Saccharomyces cerevisiae S288C: one gene and its partners. The gene in region 2 interacts genetically with the main gene of each other region. Each region holds a gene or a part of one and is shown on either strand. Other genes may lie near its edges.

Region 1 (3,801 bases), on a different chromosome or scaffold from region 2:
CATACGCCAGCTGCCAACCGCCCAGGGTTTTATGCAGCGGTCTTATTAATAAGATGTCAATTTCGTCTAATGGATCCGATATTACTGGCCTTGGAGAGTTTGCTTCTATATCTAACTGCTGAATATATAATGTAGGGTCACTGATCTTGTTGCTGGTGGTGCTGATTGTTGGATTAGAATGTTGTCTTGTGGTTGGTTTTCTTTTTATTAGTTCCTCCACTACTTCAGATGAAAAGAAGAATGAATTTGATTGCAGTAAAAATTTTTGAGATTGAGCCAACCATAATTGAATCAAGGATTCAATTTCAGAATAATCTTTTAACGGGTCAAACGATGGAAAGCATTTAACCTCAGTCTCTATATTTATGATGTTTTCAATGTTAAATGGATAACATTCAAATGCATATTTCCTAGATTCCAAATATTTTGTTAGGAAATCAATGTACGACCGTAATCTTTTCTTGGCAAATATTAAAGAGTCTTCTGGCGAGGAGTCCATGTTAAAAGATAGAAACAAGTCCATTCTATTAAAGAGCTCATTATGATTCGGGTCGTACATTATTTGTTTGAATTCACCGTCTATGCAAATGTTGATTAAATTATGATTTCCTGAAACGGTTTTGATTAGAAGAGAAGAATCTGATGCCGGTAAAGTGTTCCAGTCCCATTTTTTTCTAGAATGGAGTTTCTTGACAACGTTCGAAGTTGCACCGTGTAGACCACCACCTCCCCGGCCATTGCCGACCATATTGGATACAATGAATCGCGGTGCAGAAGGGTCTGGTGAGTAATTAGCTTTCACTTCGGAAGTCGGAGTTCCGCTTCTATGACTATGTTTATTATTACTTGTATGATGATGATGTAGACCTATTTTGGAAAGCTGAGCGGACTTCAGTTTGGATACTGAGGATGAGGCAGCGGAGTCAGATGATCGTCTTGACGAGTTTGAGAACAAGTCATCCGCCAGTCTAAAGTTTGGCAAATGTAAGGGCGAATCAAAGGACGAGAGCTTATCTGAATGATGGCTTACTTGTGGTGAGTGTGATTCTACTGAACTACTTGATTGCGTGGTTCCATTTCTACTCTCTTTTTCTTGTTTCCCCTTTTCTTTGTCAGCATTTTTATGTTCAGTAATCATTGAACTTGTATGGTTATCATGTGCTTTTAAGTTGGAAATTTTGTTACTGGTTATACTGGTTAACCCCCTATCATTCTTACTATCAATGTTTTTTGCTTCCTTATTGGAGCCCATTGTATTTACTTGAGCAGTTTATAAAAAGTGGATAAATGAGGGGAAAAATAATAAAAAAGAAAATTGAACAATCCTTCAATATGTGTCCTTTAATAATTACTACTACTTTACACACTTCTCCAGTAGCTGCTGCTTGTTTCAGGTGATGTGAACAACGTGTTTCAGCGTTCTTGGTAAGTGTTGGTATGGATCCCTTCTGATGTATTTTCGGCGGCCGCACTAAACTGCGAAAATGGTAATTTAATAAAGGGCTTATAAAGAGGAAAATAATGCAGAGAAACGGTGAGCCCAGACAAGAATGATGATAATGTGTTTTCAACCGATCATTAATGTCACGAGAAACAAATTTCAATGGAACTAAGAGGAAGAGGTCGGATGTTGCCGAGAAAGTAGCACAACGGTGGAAGAGCGTCAGGTATAGTGCTGAAATGGAGAATATGGCTCCGGTCAACAGTAACAATGATAGCGACGACTGCGTCATAGTCAGTGAATCGAAAATCATTGATTTGACTAATCAGGAACAAGATTTGAGTGAGAGAATAGAAACAAACGATACGGCAAAAGGTGCCGTTTTTAAACTAATGAAATCGGACTTCTATGAAAGAGAGGATTTTATGGGAGAAGTAGAGGATATGATTACATTGAAAGATATCTTTGGCACTGAGACACTAAAAAGAAGCATACTCTTCAGTTTCCAATACGAACTTGATTTCTTGTTGAGACAATTCCACCAGAACGTAGAGAACATAACCATCGTCGGCCAAAAGGGTACTATTATGCCTATCGAAGCCCGTGCTATGGACGCGACACTGGCAGTAATATTAAAAAAGGTCAAACTTATTGAAATAACGATGCCCCCATTCGCTTCCCACCATACGAAGCTGATCATAAACTTTTACGATAATGGCGAATGCAAAATATTCTTGCCATCTAACAATTTTACGTCAATGGAGACTAACCTGCCTCAACAGGTGTGTTGGTGCAGTCCCCTTTTGAAAATAGGTAAAGAAGGGCTACCAGTACCGTTTAAGAGAAGCTTGATAGAATACCTCAATTCGTACCACCTGAAAGACATTGACGAATTGATTACAAAAAGCGTAGAGGAAGTTAACTTTGCTCCTTTGAGCGAATTAGAATTTGTATATTCTACGCCCTCCAAATTTCAGTCGTCGGGTTTACTGTCGTTTTACAATAAACTAGAAAAACTTTCTGCTGGCACAAGTGCTAGTGATACTGCAAAACATTATCTATGTCAAACTTCATCCATAGGGACATCTCTATCAAGAGCGCGAGACGAAAACTTATGGACACATCTAATGATTCCTCTGTTTACCGGAATCATGTCCCCTCCAGCAAAGGACACCGCTGGGAGGAAGAAAGCAGAAATACTGCCAACGAATTCATTGATTAATGAATATTCGCAGAGAAAAATCAAGCCGTACATTATTTTCCCCACCGAACAAGAGTTTGTCACCAGTCCCTTAAAGTGGTCCAGTTCCGGGTGGTTTCATTTTCAATATCTTCAGAAAAAGAGCTACTACGAAATGCTGCGAAACAAGTTCAAAGTATTTTACAAGCAAGACCCTGCTATGGTTACTAGAAGACGAGGGACGACGCCCGCGCACTCTAAGTTTTACATGCATTGTGCAACAAACTCCGCAGGGCCCTGTGATGCATCGCAGGTATTTAAAGAACTAGAATGGTGCCTTTATACTTCGGCAAACCTCAGCCAAACAGCATGGGGCACCGTTTCAAGAAAACCACGCAATTATGAAGCAGGAGTGCTTTACCATAGTCGCAGGTTAGCAAATACCAGGAAGGTCACGTGCCGTACTTTTACACGTGACCGTAGAGGCTGCGCGGGTAATCCCACCCATGTGGCCGTGCCATTCACGCTGCCAGTCATACCATACGACTTAGCTGAGGACGAGTGCTTTTGCCTTGCTCGTCATGAGAACGACTAACAAGTAAGAGCGCGATGTTGCTGTCCACTTAGGCATCACTATATGGGGCCAGGAATGGCAAATTTACTTGATAAACTTCAGGCGATTGGATTTTGGTGCTCAGAATATTTTTTTCTCGGGCCGAAAGCGTCTTTAACTATTCCGAGCTAAAGCTTCCGAGTCCTTTATTCGGTCTTTTTTTATTTTTCAAGATTAACTGTATATAAATAGAGATGGTATGATTAAAAGCTCTTTTTAATAGATGCTCCTTCTTGAAATTTACTCCCACTGTGCTGCAAGAGGTTAGACGCTTCACGCACATTTTTGCTACAATGACAAGTGCCGCTACTGTTACTGCTTCGTTCAACGATACTTTTAGCGTATCCGATAATGTCGCCGTTATTGTTCCTGAAACGGACACTCAGGTGACCTACAGGGATCTATCCCACATGGTGGGTCACTTCCAGACCATGTTCACAAATCCTAATTCTCCATTGTACGGAGCTGTTTTCAGACAAGATACAGTGGCGATATCCATGCGTAATGGGCTGGAATTTATCGTCGCTTTCCTCGGTGCTACTATGGACGCTAAAATTGGCGCGCCCT
Region 2 (2,562 bases):
TTCATGTAGTATTGAATCTGCAATATTTTTTAACCAACTATCAATTTTCGTGTCAACAAATTACTCTTTACCATGTAGACAGCTACTGATTCAGGCGCACATGAAGACCTATTCGCTTATTTAACAAATATTAGCGTATTTTTTGAGACTATTAACGTGTGTAGACCTCCAGAGGCTGCACTCTAAAAGCCCCCAGGGATATGTCTATACTGTCCTTTGAGAGTTATACGTATGAAAAATAGTAAGGAGACGTCTCTAAGCGTATTTAGAATATACGCTAAGAGTGACTAATGTAGGTAAGTGCGCAGTAATGGCTGGTAAACTTTTTTTTATACTAGTGCCATGTTGTACTGAACTTCAATTTTACAACTAAACTATGAAGCAAGTATCTTATCTTGGGGTTGTATATTTCAATTAAGTGGTTTCGTGGTCTAGTCGGTTATGGCATCTGCTTAACACGCAGAACGTCCCCAGTTCGATCCTGGGCGAAATCATTATTTTTTTGAATTTTTATATTAGTTTATTTACAGGGATAGATAATGAATGATAAAAAATGAATAGAACGTACTCTGCGCAAGCGCATATATATATATACTATTGTTGCTTCCAATTTATACAAGATCCCTTAATTGTTCCTCTAGCTTTTTATCTTGTTTCCAATTATAAAATGCAGTCGCTGCACCGCCAAATAAAACAAGGTTGAACACTATCCGCATTCCCGTGTACCCTACGTTCCATTCGTTGCCCTTGGATCTGCCACCACAGGGTCCATAAGATAAGAAATACGCTGCTTTGGTCTCCTCCAGCGGTATATGTCTCCAATCTTCTTGCATCCTCCATCGTAAGTATTCCTTGATTTCATCCCTAACTTCAGGTCGTAGAGTGGGCCATAACTTCGTTATATTCGTAATCTCTACTACCGGTGGCTGATAAGTGCTGAAAGATCTTTTCAGTGCTAGCCGAATACCGTTTCGTCCCATCATCTTCTGCCTTATTTCTACCTATGTTGAAATGATATCTTTTGGGTGGTCTTCTCTTTTCTTTGACGCGAAATTTGAAATTGCAAATACTTTTCGAAGAAGGATGCAAGTACACATAAAACGTATACTGTAAATAGGCAAAACATAAGCAGTGAGAGATATCCCTGCATATTCAAGGTTTACAATGACTTATGAACAATTATACGTACGTTGCCTGTAACGCTGGTTGATGCTATTCTTTTGATGTTTTTAACAACACACAGGACAATGAATAGTTCCCTTCCTGTTTTCTAATTCATAATTACTAACAAGTATAGCCAATTCGCCTTCTCGGCATTTGTGTAATCACTTAAGAAAGAGTTCCATTCCTCAAAGAGCTTCCAGCCATTTATCCACTTAGACACTCAACCAAAATTTGCAATTTGTGGTTTAATCGTTACATTAGCTGTATTATCATCTGCCCTGTTCGCCGTCGGTTCTAAATCTTCATACATTAAGAAACTCTTCTTCTACACAATTTTAAGTGTAATTGGCAGCTTGTTTGCTGGCTTGACCACTGTTTTTGCTTCGAATTCTTTCGGTGTCTACGTCTAGTGGCTCTTCGTTGGCCTATAAAGGAATTATCGATGAAATTATATACTATACTTAAGAAGTATTTTGGATGAGAATATTAAAAAGAAAGGTGTCAAGTAAATTTCATTATATAAACGGTTTAAGACATATTAATATGCGATTTTTGGGAAGATAATGACTGATATCACATGGCTTTGTTGTTTGAAGGTGCTTGTTTTATGCTCATAAATTCAACACATCTTCGTCGAAGTTAATAGCTTTGTAATATCTTGGATCTGAAGAGTTGGTTGAACCGAACGCGTTATACTCAAGTAATGTAGAAAGCATAGCTCTAGTGTTTGATATTACATTCTCTAATGCGCATTCGCTATCCTTATGTAAAAATGTTAGTATTGTGTTGTTACTAACTTGAAATAATCTCTCTTGTAAGTATTCGTCACTCAAATATCCTGATATCTCCTTTGGTGCCTCCACAAGTGGATTGGAATATGCTAACAATGCAGAGACATTACTCAATTGTCCACTAAACCTATCCCTCAAAGATTGTGGAATTTTAGTATCGTAGATAAATTCATTAGATAATTCTTGACCCTTCAAAATTAAATTTTCAATTTCGTCATCATCTTTGGATGAACTCTTTTTAATCATCACCAGATAATTCGCTAGTTTTAACTCAAATACCAATTCTAGATTATTTTTTAACAGATCTGGAATTTCGTTATCGATATAATTGATGCATTTGCTAATTTGACCTTTGTTTATCAAGTATCTTAATTCTTGCCTTATCTTTACCATACGTTCTTCTTTCATGATCTGTCTTTCATTGTGCCTGATAACATCTTTACTTTCAGAATGTTGCCCATTGACATTAACCGCATCTTTTTGCAAATCTTTCAAAAACCCCTTTGCAACATCCACCAATCCTTCGTGGATCAAATAATCATTTATCATCACGTTTAATGTATTAGGCAATGAACCGTCATCCACGCTTAAGTTGTTAATATTGTTC
Region 3 (4,882 bases), on a different chromosome or scaffold from region 2:
GGAGCCGACGAGAATTGCTCGACGGATTTTTTGTGCGTAATATCCTTTTGTGCTTGATTCCATAAATTCACAGCTGAATTGAATAACAGAGGCCGCTGGGTTGATAACTTAGACACAGTAAATATAACGGGCGAATGGTTCCGGATTAGACCAGATCTAAATTTTGATCTTACAATTCGCCCAATTACAGGACATCTTGGAAGAAGCAGCATTTGCAGGTTGGAGTGGAATCTATCAACAACGATATACTTACGTTGCTCTGTCGCAATTTTCGAAATTGTACTCTTTGCTGTGCTGATTGCTTTGTTTGCGATTATTAATGTAGAAAGTCATCGGAAAGCCCTCGCGCTCTTTCCCAGTGAAATTTCACGTGATGTAATCTGATGAAGGGCACGTATAGGTCAGTGACCTTTGCTGTGCAAATTGGGTAAGGTAATTTCTTTTAAAGACTTTAAGAATGGTAAAGTGAGGTACAACAACATATTATAAGACTTACTTGGTATGTACCTTACCTTCCTTAGATATTTTTCATGCTGCGTAGAAAATTGCACCATCTCCAATCGTCACTTTTATACATTTTCAAAAGAATATAGATGAGTATAGCAATATAGGGTTTACACATATGTACAGAAAAGCAGAATAGTAAGTTTTGTTTCATCACTTAGATAGGTTTTTAATTTCTTCTTCACATTTGGTAATGACTGCATTACTGGCATTGATTTTACCGGATAAATAGTCCAATCTGGTCTTGAAAAGTTTCTGATCAGGAACTTTCCCCAAAGGTTTTAATTCTTCTTCCCATTTCTTGATTCTACCAGTTTCAAAACCCACAACCTTTAATAAGTAACGGGTTTTTAGCACTTTTGCGAGTTCAGGATCGTTGATCAAGTATGTGAATGCTGCCCTGTATAGCGGTTTGGCAGGCCTGATTTCCTGTAAAACACCCCTATCTCTAGATACAGTTATTAAACCATTATTCTCCAATTCCATGATTCCCGTTTCTGGTGCGGCTTTGAATAATGGCTTGTTAACGATTTCATGGAATGGAATGACTGGGTTCGCACTCAATAATTCGATTAATTCCCAGGCTTGTGCACTTTTATTGCTGTCAATCTTGTCACTTAAAAACATTTGAGTTATTTGCTCAGAAGCCTGTTCAATCATTTTGTCTACTGCTTCCGAGGGCTCTTCTCCTGACTTTACCCTTCTTACAAATGCCTGTAAGTCTAACATCCTACCACCCAATGGCTCTAAAGAAGCGTCAATTTCCTGTAATTCCTTTTCATTTAAAATAACCTCAGCTTTTTTGACACTCGTATCGGCCTCACTATCAGAATCATTATTTTCAGCAGTTTCCTTTTCTGATTCAGGTTCTTTTACGTTTTCACCCTTGGATTTTTTATTGTAATATAAGTAATCCTCCAATTGGGATAATACATAGTTCCTCGAATTCTCTTTTGAGGCATCTGATAGGATTAGGTTTTTGAAGACTTGATTGGGTAGTGATTCGCTCAATCTTTGGTTGGATGCAACGGTTTCCGTTAAGAAAATCACATGAGCAATATTCATTTGAACTAGCATAGCTGCCCAATCGGATAGTTCCTTATACACAAATCCATTTATTTCCGACTTGCCCTCAAACCTATCTATGACGATAACGGGTTTAGCTTCCGGATGTTGCTGTAGGTAATCTTCTTCCTTAACATTAACTGTCCCATCACCGGTGGAAACAAAAGCCTTGTAATTCTTGAGAGCAATACGTCTAATGGACATCAATGAGGTAGTTAACATGTTTCTAAACCGAGATTCCTTCGTCTCAGACAACCCAGTTTTTTGCCCTGTTAATCCTTGCACTGTTAAATCAAGGACACCTGTGACAGAGTCAATCCATGGGAATATTGGGAAATAACCCAATTGACTAGCGGCATTTTTTAAAAACATAGGATCTGTTCTGGACTTAATCAATTTATCACAATCCAAATACAAAACATTTGCTCTATTTTGCAAAGTGTGTTGCATGACCAAATCATGTTTCCCTGAACCTCTAGGCCCCCTTATAACCACAAAAGTATTATTATTTTCTTCAAGCCACATTTTCAGGTCATTCACTTTCTCTATTCTTTCCTCCCATAAATGCTTTCTTTGGTGATTATCATCAGGGCCGCCCCAGTAGTACTTGATAGAAGTCATGGTAGATGAGGTTAGCGTTTTCAGTTGTTTCCAAAACTTATTGTCCCACGATAAAGAATATTTGTGAGTGATCTTCTGTTCAATCGAAAATTCTCTTATAGGATCAAACACTAAAACAGCAAAGATTGAAAGTAGCGCAAATAAAACTGGAATAGCAATCCTTGTATGGTTGGTGAAAAAATTACTAACTAGATGGCCTCTTCTGATATTTTCGTATTGTATGTGTAAGACGGTATTATGAATTTCGATACCGGAAACACAATTCTTGGCAGAAATGGCACCACGGAATGAACGGTATCTTACCTTTGCCACATTGTTGTTAGCAGCAGTGGGAGGGAAAATATCAATAATTGTCCCATATCTTCTGAATAAAGAGTATATTTCTTCTTCTGTTAAGGCGGGCCCTTGGAACTTGATGACTATAGTGGTACTTGGTAGTCTTCTTAAATCCTCAATCCAAGGCGAACCCTTTACTGGGAAGGCAGAAGCTCGAGTGAAGTACGAGAGTAAGTTTTTAGAGGATTCTCTGGCTGTATTCTGTTGGATTAGAGAATTTACCTGAGCTTTTGTATACTTGGGTGGAACGACAAATGTGGCAAATACACCACCATCCCTTTTCACTGGAATGGTAGACTTCAACTCCAGTCCATAAATGGGGTTATTGGGTGGACTGGCTAAATTCCTTATTTTCTCCCTCACTGCATCCCGTGACTGGTTTCTTAGCAGGAGATTGTACCACAGTGTTGGATTCCAAACCGAGGTGGTTCTAGCGTAAACATTATCGAAATATATCAGAGTTTCTTCATCTGATTTGTGAATAACACCAGTATCGGTGGCGGTGTTTGACTCTCCTGCCTGCTGATCCTTTTGCTGGATCTCGCTCGACACATGTCTCACTGAGGGTTGGGCATTCATCAGGTTCGCTAGTCTATATTTGCCCTTGAGGATGCCTATTCCTCTGGCGAGGCATGGCACTGGCATCCTTGACACATTCAGGGAAGTCGTTCGTACTAGCAACATGGTTTACTTTTACAAATACTACTTCCTGTATAGGCCCGCTATATTTTGGTTTTAGATCCTGTCAATACTGAGTTCATCTTTCATTTTCTCAATATAACATTACCGTTATCTCCCTTATACTTCTCAAATTCCCATCTACGGAACCCTGATCAAGCCCTGAGAAACTATATGAGGGTGTGTACATTGCAGTGCATCATTTGTGAGGGTTCAATAATTGAAATTATAGGGTGGACGTCAAGACGAAAAGTGAAAAATTACATCCGTATAGAATTATATAACTTGATGAGATGAGATGAGTAAATGACAGAAGAATTACCGTTTCATCATTGAACTTCGATCATTTCAATGCTGGCATGCGAAGGAAAATGAGAAATATCGAGGGAGACGATTCAGAGGAGCAGGACAAACTATAACCGACTGTTTGTTGGAGGATGCCGTACATAACGAACACTGCTGAAGCTACCATGTCTACAGTTTAGAGGAATGGGTACAACTCACAGGCGAGGGATGGTGTTCACTCGTGCTAGCAAACGCGGTGGGAGCAAAAAGTAGAATATTATCTTTTATTCGTGAAACTTCGAACACTGTCATCTAAAGATGCTATATACTAATATAGGCATACTTGATAATGAAAACTATAAATCGTAAAGACATAAGAGATCCGCTTATTTAGAAGTGTCAACAACGTATCTACCAGCAATTTGGCCCTTCTCCATCTTTTCGTAAATTTCTGGTAAACTGGATAAGCCAACTACCTTTATTGGAGACTTGACTAGACCTCTGGCAAAGAAATCTAAGGCTTCTCTGGTATCAGCTCTGTTCCCCACGTAAGAGCCGACAATGGAGATAGACTTGACAACGTGGTTGAAGACATCAGAGGAGCACTTTGCACCGGCTGGCAAACCAACCAAGACAACAGTACCGTTCGCCCTACAGTATCTGGTAGAAGCTTCGATAGCGGCTTCGGAAACGGAAACATTGATGATACCGTGGGCACCGCCGTTGGTAGCCTTAACGACTGCGCTAACAATGTCCTTCTCTTTGGTGAAGTCGATGAATACTTCACCACCGAGCGAGGTAAACAATTCTTCCTTTCCTGGACCACCATCAATACCTAAGACTCTGTAACCCATCGCCTTAGCATATTGAACAGCCAAAGAACCTAGACCACCAGCAGCACCAGAAATGGCCGCCCAGTGGCCTGCTCTCAAGTTGGCAGACTTCAAAGCCTTGTATACGGTGATACCAGCACACAAGATTGGCGCGACTTCAGCCAAGTCAGTACCTTGAGGAATGTGAGCGGCTTGAACAGCGTCAGCGGTAGCGTATTCTTGGAAAGAACCGTCGTGGGTGTAACCAGACAAGTCAGCGTGAGGACAGTTGGATTCGTTACCCAATTCACAGTATTCACAGGCCATACAAGAACCGTTCAACCATTTGATACCGGCGTAGTCACCGATCTTCCAGCCCTTAACGTTTTCACCCATGCCGACAACGACACCGGCACCTTCGTGACCACCAACTAATGGTAACTTAGTTGGCAATGGCCAGTCACCATGCCAAGCGTGCAAATCGGTGTGGCAGACACCAGAGTACTTGACGTTGATTAACAATTCGTTGGGCTTTGGCTTTGGAACTGGGATATCCTTATGCTCCAACTTGCCGTTGGATT

What was found.
Region 1: mutations in MTC3 (region 2) and TDP1 are lethal when combined (synthetic lethality), as found in Saccharomyces cerevisiae (one study listed by BioGRID).
Region 3: mutations in MTC3 (region 2) and YME2 together harm fitness more than expected from each alone (negative genetic interaction), as found in Saccharomyces cerevisiae (2 studies listed by BioGRID).

What each region holds. Positions count from the first base shown.
Region 1 is NC_001134.8:668,078-671,878, reverse strand, and holds TDP1 (tyrosyl-DNA phosphodiesterase 1), read left to right. Parts: upstream 1-1,581; coding exon 1,582-3,216; downstream 3,217-3,801. Other genes in the region: YBR225W (uncharacterized protein), read right to left, coding at 1-1,252; PCS60 (Pcs60p), read left to right, coding at 3,528-3,801. UniProt on the Saccharomyces cerevisiae protein: DNA repair enzyme that can remove a variety of covalent adducts from DNA through hydrolysis of a 3'-phosphodiester bond, giving rise to DNA with a free 3' phosphate.
Region 2 is NC_001139.9:71,761-74,322, reverse strand, and holds MTC3 (Mtc3p), read right to left. Parts: upstream 984-2,562; coding exon 612-983; downstream 1-611. Other genes in the region: OST5 (dolichyl-diphosphooligosaccharide--protein glycotransferase subunit), read left to right, coding at 1,165-1,185, 1,335-1,574; glucose-induced degradation complex subunit VID30, read right to left, coding at 1,776-2,562. UniProt on the Saccharomyces cerevisiae protein: May be involved in telomere capping.
Region 3 is NC_001145.3:869,416-874,297, forward strand, and holds YME2 (Yme2p), read right to left. Parts: upstream 3,211-4,882; coding exon 658-3,210; downstream 1-657. Other genes in the region: ATP-binding cassette Fe/S cluster precursor transporter ATM1, read right to left, coding at 1-212; alcohol dehydrogenase ADH2, read right to left, coding at 3,876-4,882. UniProt on the Saccharomyces cerevisiae protein: Plays a role in maintaining the mitochondrial genome and in controlling the mtDNA escape. Involved in the regulation of mtDNA nucleotide structure and number. May have a dispensable role in early maturation of pre-rRNA.